Nothobranchius furzeri: one gene and its partners. The protein of the gene in region 2 interacts with the protein of the main gene of each other region in a biochemical or structural test. Links are inferred from orthologs where the notes say so. Each region holds a gene or a part of one and is shown on either strand. Other genes may lie near its edges. The genes, in order: ube2c, anapc11 and ube2s.

Region 1 (4,139 bases), on a different chromosome or scaffold from region 2:
CTACCCACTGAGTCGTTGGCCTCTATAGACAATAGGCAGCTACAGCTTATAAGCTTGACTCTCCCATTTCCAGTTAGAACTGACAAAGCTCCTCGGATGAGAAGCGAAACGTCTTCAAACCAAAGAAGTCCAGTCACTTTCATTTGAATCCTTTTGGGTTACCATGACCTGGATGACAGAACCTTCACCAGCAAAGTCACAAAAGAGAACTGCTCAAAAGTACCCAAACACCGATTGTATTAGTAGCTGGCCGTTCTCTGGGTTCTGCTGGCTGCCTGAAAGGTTGTGGGTGTACTTACCACCTTGGTTGCTCCACAGTTCTGCTGCGGTCGTGTTCAGAGGACTCTCGTTGTTTGGTTCTGGGGAATACAGAAGGAATTGTGTGCTGCTCTCTGAGCTGTGCAAAGATGGCTCTGATGGATCCATCAGGTTTTAGCAGACAGCAAACTGGTGGTTCCGGTTACCTCCCAGTAGACTCTGGATGGACAGCAGGATAGAACGAACATCGTACAGTGCCGACCACTTGTCCTTCAGGATGTCGAGACAGATGAAGCCCTGATCGTCCACATTGGGATGGAAACACGGAGTGACGAACTTTACCCGAGGAGCATGGTACGGATACCCAGCTGGAAACTCCAGAGACAGACGGTACCGGAGGCCTTCGTACACCTGGGCACACAGGTAAGAGTGTCGGGTGAATCAGAGCAGCAAGTGGAGGGGTCAAGTTTTAGATCGTGCTGTATTTATGTGGTCATACTGTTCCTTGGGCTCCATCGATGGTTCCGACCCATTTGAAGAGATTATCCGATTCTGGAAAAGCAGAGATGCCCTTATCACCCGACATCTACAGGAGGGAGGAACGCACAGGTCACATGACCTCAGAAATATCAGGTTTTGTTGATTTTACTAATGTCAGGTATGTTGGTATTGATGCTCCTGTGTGAATGATCAGACCAGAGAAATCAATCACAGAAACAAACAAATCATTGATAAGTGTCTGGATGAGAACGGAGCAGCTGACCTGCAGATGACTAACGCCACCTGTGCACTTCAAGCTAAACACTCATCCTAACCAGCACCAACTCTGCATTAGTGTTGAGGCAGGAGATCGTGTGACTATGGGTGCATCAATCAATGAGTAAACACCACCACCCAATGAGGATGAACTTGTGCAGGTCATCAGGTTCGTTAACATTCTGACTAACAACTGTCCTGTGACCCGTTAGGATCGTCCATCTTTCATTTTGTTATTGAAACCAAAATAAAACTATAGATGTGAACTTACCATGAGAGTCATCAGCTCCTGCTGCAACCTACACACACACACACACACACACATACGAATTAAACAAGTGCAACACAGGTCCAGAAATAAGCTGCAGTAATAAGATCAATAACAGAACAATTTGTTTCACAAATAAAAAAAATTCAAGCACCTGATCAGTTAACAACTCAAACTTTCCTGTTTCATAAAATTCATTTTTGTGATGAATAAAACCAGGAGAGATCAGATTTCTTCAGTTTTAGGATCACTTCATTAGCTAAAATATCCAGAATTGAGTTTCAATTTTATTTCCAAATCTGAAGGATCACGCTTTTTCGATTAATGATGCTCTTGTTCCAGATGTTCCCAGCAGAACACTTGGCTCTCAGGCTGCTTTTTACTTGTGGCTTCAACTTTCCAGCGGTCCTAAAAGTAGTAAGGAGGCAGAACTTCCAGTTCTCAGGCTCCTCTGGTGGAACCAGCTTCATGTTTCCACCACATCAAGCAGAAGCACCTTTGCGTAGACTCTAGGTTAGTTTAGATTATCCTGGCACATCTCTAGTTATGCAGCTGCAGGCTCACATTGCTGGAGAACTCACTGGGTTATTGATATTTTATTGTCCAAAGAAGAACCAAGTCCAGCAGAAACGTAGACCGACAGATGGCGTTTCATGTGTGTTATATATCTCCAACTAAAGTTTAGAGCAAAACATTCACTCCCACTCAGAATTAACTGCTTCTACGGAGCCGCTGGTTCTGAACAACATCACACACACACACACACACACACACACACACACACACACCACCTTAGTTCCATCAGTACACAGTGTTTAAGTTATTCTTGTTTAAATTGTGTAGAAGTACATTTCTTTAACTATTTTAAACCTGACTCTCTCTCTTTCCTTGGAGTTAGTACAAAGTGTTGCTTAATCCCTGCAATAAAAAGTTCCGATCTTCTGAACAAAGATCCATCAGATTGATATTTCATATTTCTATGGAATCTCACATTTTATGGTTCAGAAGTAAGATGTAAACGACCCATTCTTTACACCTGTAAGGTTCCGGTTCTGTAACGGCCCGGAACTCACCGTTTGGTCACCGAGCCTCTGGTCGCGTTGCCACTGCTTTCGCTGCCTTTCAGAGCGGCCGTGGAGGAAGCTGCAGCCGCGGCGGGGTCCATATTCTGGGAGGCCATGAATGCTGCTAGTCCGACTCCTGCCGAGGACACAGATATAACATCAGACGGACTGAGCAGGGGAGGCAGGCCGAACCGAGCCGATCAAATCCAACCGAGCGGGCCGTAGCTTCTGTAGCTAACAGCAGCTACATGCTAACTCCCGGAGATTTCAGAGAAAACGCTGAGCCGTGCCTCGTGGTACCGGTCAGAACCACTGGCTCTTTGTCTTCATGCTAACACATGATTACATTTATAGCCATACTATAGCTGATTTAAACACTCACCGGTGTTCAGTTCGTGGTGGAAGGCTGGATTCTCTAGATTCAAACCGATTCTTCTGCCGCCCCCAGTTTAAAACGACGTTTCCTCACAAACAGCCAATCAGTGTCTGACTTTCAAAAAATGAACTACCCTCATCGAACCAATGAGAAGATGGTGATTAAAAAGCTACACTGTAATTGGCCAGTAGAATCAGCCAGAACCCGCCCCCACCATCTAGGCGTTCACACAGCGGAAGTCATTGGTTCAATTTGTTATTTTAAACGCGTTTTTTAAATAAATGAACTTAAAATCTAAGTTATTAAACACATTTTTGTTTACCCCTCCTCCTACAGGGATGTATAAAATCTCCTAGAAGAGTCAAGAGCCTAAATCAAGTTAAATGATGGATCACAAAAATTGGAGCTTGGGAGGATGAGTACACCTGCAGAGGGTCAGAGGGGAATATATATATATATATATATATATATATATATATATATATATATATATATATATATATATATATATATATATATATATATATATATATATATATATAATGAAGTGGCTGATATCAAGAAATCCTACCAAGAACTAGAAAGAGCTGGTCTGAAGAATAGCACAGAGGCACTCATCATGGCTGCACAGGAACAGGCCCTGAACATCTACCACACCAGACAAGACCCAAGGTGTAGAACCCTGAGACAATCCACCACATAACTGCAGGGTGTAAGATGCTGGGAAGGAAAGCATACAAGGAACGCCACAACCAAGCTGCTGGCATAGTGTACAGGAACGTCTGTGCAGAGCATGGACTGGAAGCCCCAAGGTCAAAGTGGGTAACACCCCCTAAGGTGGTTGAGAACAAGAGCCAAGCTCTTGTGGGACTTCCAGATCCAAACTGATAAAATGGTGATGGAGAACCATCCGGACATTGTGTTGGAGGACAAACAACAGAGGACAGCTGTTGTGGTTGATATAGCGATACAAAGTGATGTAACCTCAGGAAAAAGGAGCATGAGAAACTACCTGGGCCTCAAAGAAGAACTTGAGAAAGCCTGGAGAATGAAGACATCGGTGGTGCTCATGGGCATCAGGGCAGTAACCCCCAGACTGGAGGAATCCCAGGAAAACCATCTCAGTCCAGAAAAGTGCAGCTCTAGGAACAGCTAAGATACTGCAGAACCCTCAAGCTCCCAGGCCTCTGGTAGAGGACCCAAGCTTGGATGAGACCACCCGCGGAGGGTGAGATGGGAATTGTGTGTGTGTGTGTAAGCCCATGTTTATTTTTTCAAAGCAACAATAATACCACAAACCATAAATACAAAGTGAACAAGAAAATGAAAGTTTTTTGTTGTTGCAACCAAATCCCATTAATTAGGAAAAACAGGTTTTTAAACTAGAATACAAGAACAAAATCACAAAGGTAAAAAA
Region 2 (3,354 bases):
ATCCTTAACTTCAAGGGAACAAGACATATTTAGCCTTTTTAGGGCCCCGATTCTTAGCGTGTTGTAAATGCTAACTGGCGTAACCAGTCTCAAACTAAACTCATATTGTTAAGCAGCTTTTGATGCCTCTGGTCCCTTCTGGCCCGTTACTAGGCCAGCTAGCTAAATTGATTTTACTCTGATGACTTGTACAATTACTGAACTCACTTAGATATGCATTTCCTAGACGTAATAAGACAGACTATTGAGCGTTTTGCTAAAACCTTATCTCATCAGTGTTTGGTTAGTTGACGACAACAACGAGCTAAGACAAAAACGTCCTCCTTACCTTATTTTTATCTGCTGGACAAATATCCTTCTTTAAAGTGTCTCCTATTAAGATAAAAATTAAAGAAAAAACAAACAACTAAAGCAAGTTGGGTGACTTATATTACCACTCAGAATGAACGGCTAGCTCAACGGTTATCATTTAGAAGCATGCTGAAGCTAACCACAGGGCCTGTTTTCTGCCTCCTGGTTAAACTGTGGCCCCCTTCTGGGTGGAGGAGGAATAACACAAAATTCAAACTACAATAAAACGATCAGATTGAATGAATGGATTAACCTGATGATGACAGGTTTAAGGAATTCTAATGTATTGGTGTAAATGTTGAGGTGTTATGGTTGTCCTTACTGATTACAGCTTTGAGGTATTTTTATTTCTAAAAACAGATTAAAGACAACAAAATCACTAAACTAAAATGGCAAATGTATTCTTAAAACGTATAATGGACTTTGGCACGCATCAAAATTTAAAGATGGGTTCATTAAAGTCTCTAAAATTAGGTATTATTGATAAAATCACAAATGCTGCCAACTTTTCAAAAATATTTCATATTTAATTTTTTATTTATAGCTATTGTAACTTTATAATATAGTTCCCTCCTCATTTATTCATGCGTCTTCTCCTTAACACAAATAATCCGAAAAGGCCAAAAACAGCTTCAATAAATGTCTTCTAAACAGAACCAAAATGTAGTTGCAACTGTTCGCCACTGGAGGGCGGCAATAGCTCATTTTATTCATATAAAGTCAATTAAAACTGCGCTTGTCGCGCCGTAGCTAGCTGAGTTTAGCTATTATCATTTTAAGCAATTATATTTGTAGGAAATTTCTTAATTATGTTATTTAAAAAATCTGGGTCCTTTCTAGCAAGGGGATTACAGATGGGTTAGTACCACAATTAAGTTTCCTCAAGGCTCAGGAAAATGTGATCGCTCATTTGTCAAATGTACATAAATTATGTGTTATTGAATTAAGTATATTTTCTGAGATGTTATTCCTCCATGCCAACATGTCTTTGCATGTCTGCAAATAAAACACCGCAGAGTAGCAGGTGAGAATTACTTTTTCTAAAGAGGGACATATTTCGTTGTAACACCGGATGACAGAAGTAGAAGAATGCTAAGCTAGTTAATTTGATTCTAAGTGTGTGCATTTACTTTAATGAACATACGTTTTTACTGTTGTTGCAAATCATTAAGGCTCATTGGTAGCTGCTCCGTGAACTGTGGTAAATATTTCAATCTGGAAAAAGTGCATTTGGTGGCGATCAATGCAGCTTCTGTGAGACGAACGCCAACCCCGGAAGTAACGGGACACAGCCTTACGTTGCAGAAAACAAATCTTTTTCAAAGTTGTATTTTACTGCTATTGGATGTCGGAAGGAAGAAACTGAATAACTCGCGGACCTGAAGTGCGGTTTGAGGATGAAAGTTAAGATCAGGCAGTGGAACGGGGTGGCCTCCTGGTTGTGGGTGGCCAACGACGAAAACTGCGGGATCTGCAGGATGTCCTTCAACGGCTGCTGCCCGGAGTGTGAGTAACCGAGCTGGGATGGGTTCTGGTTCGAAAGTAGCACCAAATCCGATGTCCTAAAATTAGATTTTAAATGTCCAGAACTAGAATAGGATGCCTTACATTAGCTTAAAACTATTGTTACAGAGCTGCTGAAAGGAAAATGTTTCAGGGTATGTTTGCTGTTAAGGGTGATCCTGCCCTAATGAGATCTGGAAGGCTAACTGAGGCCTACAACGATCTATTTTATTCTATTTAGGTACATCTGAGTGACAAAGGATTACAAAACATCCTTCATCTTTTGGATCAGTAGAAGAACAAACTGTAAAATGTTACTACAGCACCTTAAGAAAGGTCTTATGAATGTTTGTTGTCTGCATCTCATATCTCAAAAACAGCATAGGTTGCTGGTTTAGCTTGTGGACAAGCATACAATGCTGGTCCAGCATCCCATGCTAGACTAGCATTACATGGTGGAGCATCTTACCAGTACCAGTACAAAAGCACAACATATGCTGGAAACCAAACCAGCTGTGCTGTATTTTTCAGCAGGTTCTCTTCAACCTTTTACAGTGACTATTAATAAAATGTAATTAAAGTCTCATTTTGCAGGTAAAGTTCCTGGAGATGACTGCCCACTGGTCTGGGGTCAGTGTTCCCACTGTTTCCACATGCACTGCATCCTGAAATGGCTGAACTCACAGCAGGTGCAGCAGCAGTGTCCGATGTGCCGCCAGGAATGGAAGTTTAAGGAGTGAATCTGTTCATCTGTTTGCAGAATTCCCACATTTTTATCCCAGCTGTAAATAACAAGAGTTGTATTCGTCTACACTGATGCACAATTTTTCTGTTAAGTTTGTGATTAAATCTAAACAAATGAATTATGCTGTTGTGCTGTTGATTTACTGCTGCATCAGACTGATTCAAACTGCAATTCTTTTCAATTAGTTGATGTTTGTGTTTAAAAAAAAGGGGGAAATGGTCAAATAAAGGACAAAAACATAAGTTTTATACAGCAGTATCTAAAGGGTCCGCTGAAAAAAATATTCATCATAGATTTGACACTGCAGGACCAGAAAGGTACTTGGAGAGCAAGTCACCCCCAAATTAACTTTCTTTTCTGATGAACTATATTCAATTCAAAAATACTTTATTAATCCCAGAGGGAAATTAGAGTTTCTGTACACACTAGGGCCCGACTGATATATCGGCCGGCCGATATTGGGGTATTGGCCTAAAAGACGGCTGATGTGGCCGATATTGCGCTACCTATCCAGCAGATGGCACCAGCTTTATGAACTCGTGTTGTGTGTCTCCACTCCTTTGAACTTTGAACACAAATTATTGTTTTGGAACTTATTTATTTATTTATTCTTATTTATGTTTCTTATGTGCAATTATTTACTGTCCAGGGTGAATAAGTTCACCAAGTTAACTTCCACTGAGTGTTACTTTGTTACAAAGCACACGTATTACGTTATATTTATTGCTGCATTTTTATTATTTTAACATTCTTAT
Region 3 (4,210 bases), on a different chromosome or scaffold from region 2:
TTTAGTCGTGTCAAGGTGCTGTAGGAGAGTGCACTAGCACCGTGTCCTCAGAGAGGTTAGTTATTAGTTATCAGTGTGAGGAACTTATTTCTACCTTATTTATAAACTATTTATTTACAAGTCCATCAGTTAATGTAATAATTGTCCCAACCACAGCTGCACCCCCCCACCCCCCAACCCGGTCTCACAGCAATCATGGGCAAGATGCACGTGTGTTTAGCGCGCCGCACGCGCACATTTAGCCATTTTTAGCGGCTCAGGAGCCCGCAGGTGCGGTGTGTGTGTCACTCACTCTAGTTACTCCAACAAGGAGCCGACTCCGAGAGCCGTTTCTTTAGCGACTGACACATCACTACATCATTCCCTTTCCTAATGTCCTGAAGAACGGTCCGGAGCGCAGGCGGAGTGTTTAGCTAACCTGCAGAAATGTCGACGACAGTTATCCAGAAAGTAGCTAAGGGTTACCAGAGATGTTTCTGAGGTGTTCGCTAGGTACTTTTAAGATTTAAAAAGTCAAGAAGGGGGTCTGAAAAGCTGCTAGAAATAGCGTCAAAGTCGATAAGTTGGCAACACGGAGGAGCGCTTCATTTGCAACTCAGGGCAGCGCAAGTGGGAGGAGCAAATAATCGGCTTGTTTTTATAATCGTTCAAAACTCAGATCGTAATTGGGATTAAAATTCGATTAATTGAGCAGCCCTACGCTGTACTTTCTGGATCTTCTCGGTGTCCTGCGCCTGCTGATGACATCACCATACTACGACAATACCGCGCGGTCAAAATATACTGCATCTCTTTTTCGATTCTGTTCTTCCACATATGTTTTGGAAAGAGTTTAGCAGTTTTGTTATTAAATTTGTGTTTCTTACTACCTAAATGCTTGTGAACGTGGTAACGCAACTTCTGTGAGTCAGCCATTCATCTAGTGTGACGTCATCAACAGGCACAGGACGCCGAGCCAGCCAGAAGGAAACAAGGTGTCCCCAATAAACACCAGACCCGCACCCTATGAGAACTACCTTATGGGTTTGTGGTACAAAGCCGCCAATACTTTTCAACGACTGGACATAACTTTATTTATTTTCAATAAAGTTTTGATGGATTTTTTCAGAGATTGACAGTAAAAACTAGGGATGCACCGATATGAATTTTTTGGACCGATATTAATATCACCGTTACGGCCGATAACAGATGTTTGCGATACTGATTTATGCTTCTGAAATCAGCTACTTTTGTATAGACTGAAATTATGCAAGCTGAATTTTTGAATGTTTTGCTTCATTTCTGTTAAGTGGAATTGGCAATATATTATATAAACACACATTTATCTGTTACCTTCACTGTCACAGGACTAAACAATTACACATCATCACCCCCCTTACCCTCGGAAACAGATACACAAACAGAAACAAGATGGAAAAAATATTGTTTGTTAATACCGGCCCAGTTTTACTTGTCGGACTGATATCGCTATGTTAAAAAATGACTAACATTGGCCGATACTGATATTAATGCTGATATATCGTGCATCCCTAGTAAAAACTACACACTGTCTCTTTAACCAACTGAAATGGGAAGTGTGTAAGATAATCAAACTAAACTAACAATAACAGATGTTTAGTTTTTGTTGCATCCTGACTGTTACCTGGTCCTTCAATGGACGTGTGGAGTTCAGTTATGTCTTCTTCACTGGGATAAATCTTGATGCCCTCAGGTGGGTCTGCTGCTAAAGCGGAAACCTCTTTGTAGACCAAACGCAGAACATGAGGGGGCAAATTCTCGACATTAGAGTTCTGAGGAGAGACAGAGCAACGACTTAGCACTAAAGAGTTTCGGTATGAACACTGAATTTCTAAACATGAAACAATATTTTTAAATAAAATATATAAATTTCACCTTTACACTGTTGATGGCCAACGTTAAAATGGCTTTAACTCAATAATGCACGTCATAAATGACTGTTTGCTTTGCTAATTTGAATTTTTTAATAAATAAACACGAAATATCAGAAGTTACACTTAAAATTATGCATAGACAAAAACTAAACAATATTAGTAATATTAATAATTGTATTGTATTTAAAAAGATACACAAAATGAACGTACAGAAGATGTTTAAAGTGAAAATAATGCATTGTGTCAAAGTTTCTACCTATTTGCCAGTCTTTCTGCCAATTTATTATCATTTTTGATCGTTTAAATCAGATAAAACAGTTTTACAACCTCGCTGGGGAACTATTTATCTCACACGGAGATAAAAGAGGAAAGTTTTCTACGCAAAACATTATTTTATTTCCATAATATTCATACAAAAAAAGGCACATTAGTTCGCATCTTGTTGAGTATCTGGAAATGTTACTTCAAATTCAGCAATCAACACGTTTAGGGCAAGCTCAGTATGAACGCGTCTTTTAAAACTACACCTTTAGATAAGTCAAATGTTTGTAATGTCCGCTAACGATCAAATGAACTTAAGTACATTTATGTTACAGCTAGCATTACAAGCCTAGCTTTAAGCAGGTAACCTCAACGCTTCTTGTTATTTTATTCCAATATTAGTTATACTAAAGACGTTGGATAGGTTTTAAAATGAAGGTTCTTTTCTCAACAACTACCGGAATACATATAAAATAGTCAAAACTCAAATAATAAAGAAAATGTTTCGACGACTTAACATCGACTCAAGCTAGGCAACCGTTAGCTGTTAGCATGATGCTAAGTCTTACCATCTTCGAAAAAGAGATCTGTTGAGGTGATAAATGTCCGCCTGGTGTCAGATAAAAAAAAACGTGTTTTCTAATAAAGTTCGAAAAGAAATACAATCTTGGTTGAAAACTTAGTCCAGTCTAACTGTTTTTGTTTTCTTCTTTTCCCAGGAACGAAATTACGTTTCTCAGTTTAAGCTACTGCCATTGACCAATCGGCATTTTAGTGAAATTACGCGTCAGACGATTACAGCCAAACAAGATAGAGTATTTCTGTTACGTCATCAGTAGGAGCACAATCAGCCAAACCGCGCCGAAACAGGACTGATACCAATCAGCTATTGGTCATTTTGAAAAGAAAAAAAAACACGCCCTTGATTAATAATGGATCGGCACCCTTTTATGTCAGCACACGCTGGCGGTGCTCCGGGAAGGTGGAGTTAAAAGGTTCCCTGTTAGTTCAGAACGCAACAAATACATTTACTAAAGGATTTGTGGATTTCACGAATTTTTTAATGATCAGAATACGTTTGATTATTAAAACACGAACTGTTTTTTTAAGTTAGACATTACATTCGGGGCAGATAACTATACATTTACTATTCTTTATTCACATAAGTACTAACATATTCATTGTCATATCCAATATATCAGCTAGATAGATAGATAGATAGATAGATAGATAGATAGATAGATAGATAGATAGATAGATAGATAGATAGATAGATAGATAGATAGATAGATAGATAGATAGATGCTTATCTAGAATAAAATAAGATAAAATGCATAAATGATAAATACAATAAAAGTGTTGTAAAATACATTAAAGAAGTTGTTATACATAAAAGTAACAGAGAGTGATAATTTTTACTTTTGAAAATGTAATGTATTCTATTGATTTCGTGTCATTACACATATGTTGTCGCTGACATTTATATTACTTATGAAGGAGAACGTTTTTGTTTTTGAAAACCAAAGATACTGCCAATCCATAATTTTCAATTGGATAATCTAATAGTTCAAATGTGTTGTTCATCATTCTAATCATGGTTCAGTGCTCTACAATCACTGAAAAACAACAGTCATGTGTTAAATCTAATCAGGAAGAGTTGAAGCTCATTCAATACAAAACACGCCAATGAAAACTGTACTGTGTGCGATTCATAAGAGTGTAGTTATGTGGCGGATTAACACGCAGTTATGTGTAGTTAGGGTGTTTTTTATGAGCCAGGACCACATTTGTAATATTTTATCACCACCTCTAGTAATGCGCCCGTTTCTAATCATGACCACTAGAGGGCGCTGTAGCACAACGTCACCGTTTATTTCAACCCGTTGGAATACGTTAGCACTTCTCGTTTGAAACCCATAAAATAAGATGTTTGCACCGCTAATTTTACGTTATTTTCGGTTCTCATAGGTTAAACGGAATCTAATCTACGCATGTTGTTTACTTATTTAAGACTGGATGCATATGTGAAGTCATCTAATCAACAACACAACACAACA

The links.
Region 1: the proteins of anapc11 (region 2) and ube2c form a complex in vitro, tested with the Homo sapiens proteins (66 studies listed by BioGRID). The link is inferred for Nothobranchius furzeri from reciprocal best matches to the Homo sapiens genes ANAPC11 and UBE2C.
Region 3: the proteins of anapc11 (region 2) and ube2s form a complex in vitro, tested with the Homo sapiens proteins (31 studies listed by BioGRID). The link is inferred for Nothobranchius furzeri from reciprocal best matches to the Homo sapiens genes ANAPC11 and UBE2S.

The regions. Positions count from the first base shown.
Region 1 is NC_091743.1:77,062,371-77,066,509, forward strand, and holds the start of ube2c (ubiquitin-conjugating enzyme E2 C), read right to left. Parts: upstream 2,835-4,139; 5' UTR 2,729-2,834; intron 2,483-2,728; 5' UTR 2,463-2,482; coding exon 2,356-2,462; intron 1,314-2,355; coding exon 1,286-1,313; intron 845-1,285; coding exon 758-844; intron 670-757; coding exon 465-669; intron 360-464; coding exon 300-359; intron 1-299. UniProt on the Homo sapiens protein: Accepts ubiquitin from the E1 complex and catalyzes its covalent attachment to other proteins. In vitro catalyzes 'Lys-11'- and 'Lys-48'-linked polyubiquitination.
Region 2 is NC_091744.1:6,780,390-6,783,743, forward strand, and holds anapc11 (anaphase-promoting complex subunit 11), read left to right. Parts: upstream 1-1,398; 5' UTR 1,399-1,748; coding exon 1,749-1,857; intron 1,858-2,448; coding exon 2,449-2,594; 3' UTR 2,595-2,717; downstream 2,718-3,354. UniProt on the Homo sapiens protein: Together with the cullin protein ANAPC2, constitutes the catalytic component of the anaphase promoting complex/cyclosome (APC/C), a cell cycle-regulated E3 ubiquitin ligase that controls progression through mitosis and the G1 phase of the cell cycle.
Region 3 is NC_091745.1:76,825,098-76,829,307, reverse strand, and holds the start of ube2s (ubiquitin-conjugating enzyme E2 S), read right to left. Parts: upstream 2,901-4,210; 5' UTR 2,726-2,900; coding exon 2,723-2,725; intron 1,791-2,722; coding exon 1,643-1,790; intron 1-1,642. Other genes in the region: josd2 (josephin-2), read left to right, coding at 4,145-4,210. UniProt on the Homo sapiens protein: Accepts ubiquitin from the E1 complex and catalyzes its covalent attachment to other proteins. Catalyzes 'Lys-11'-linked polyubiquitination.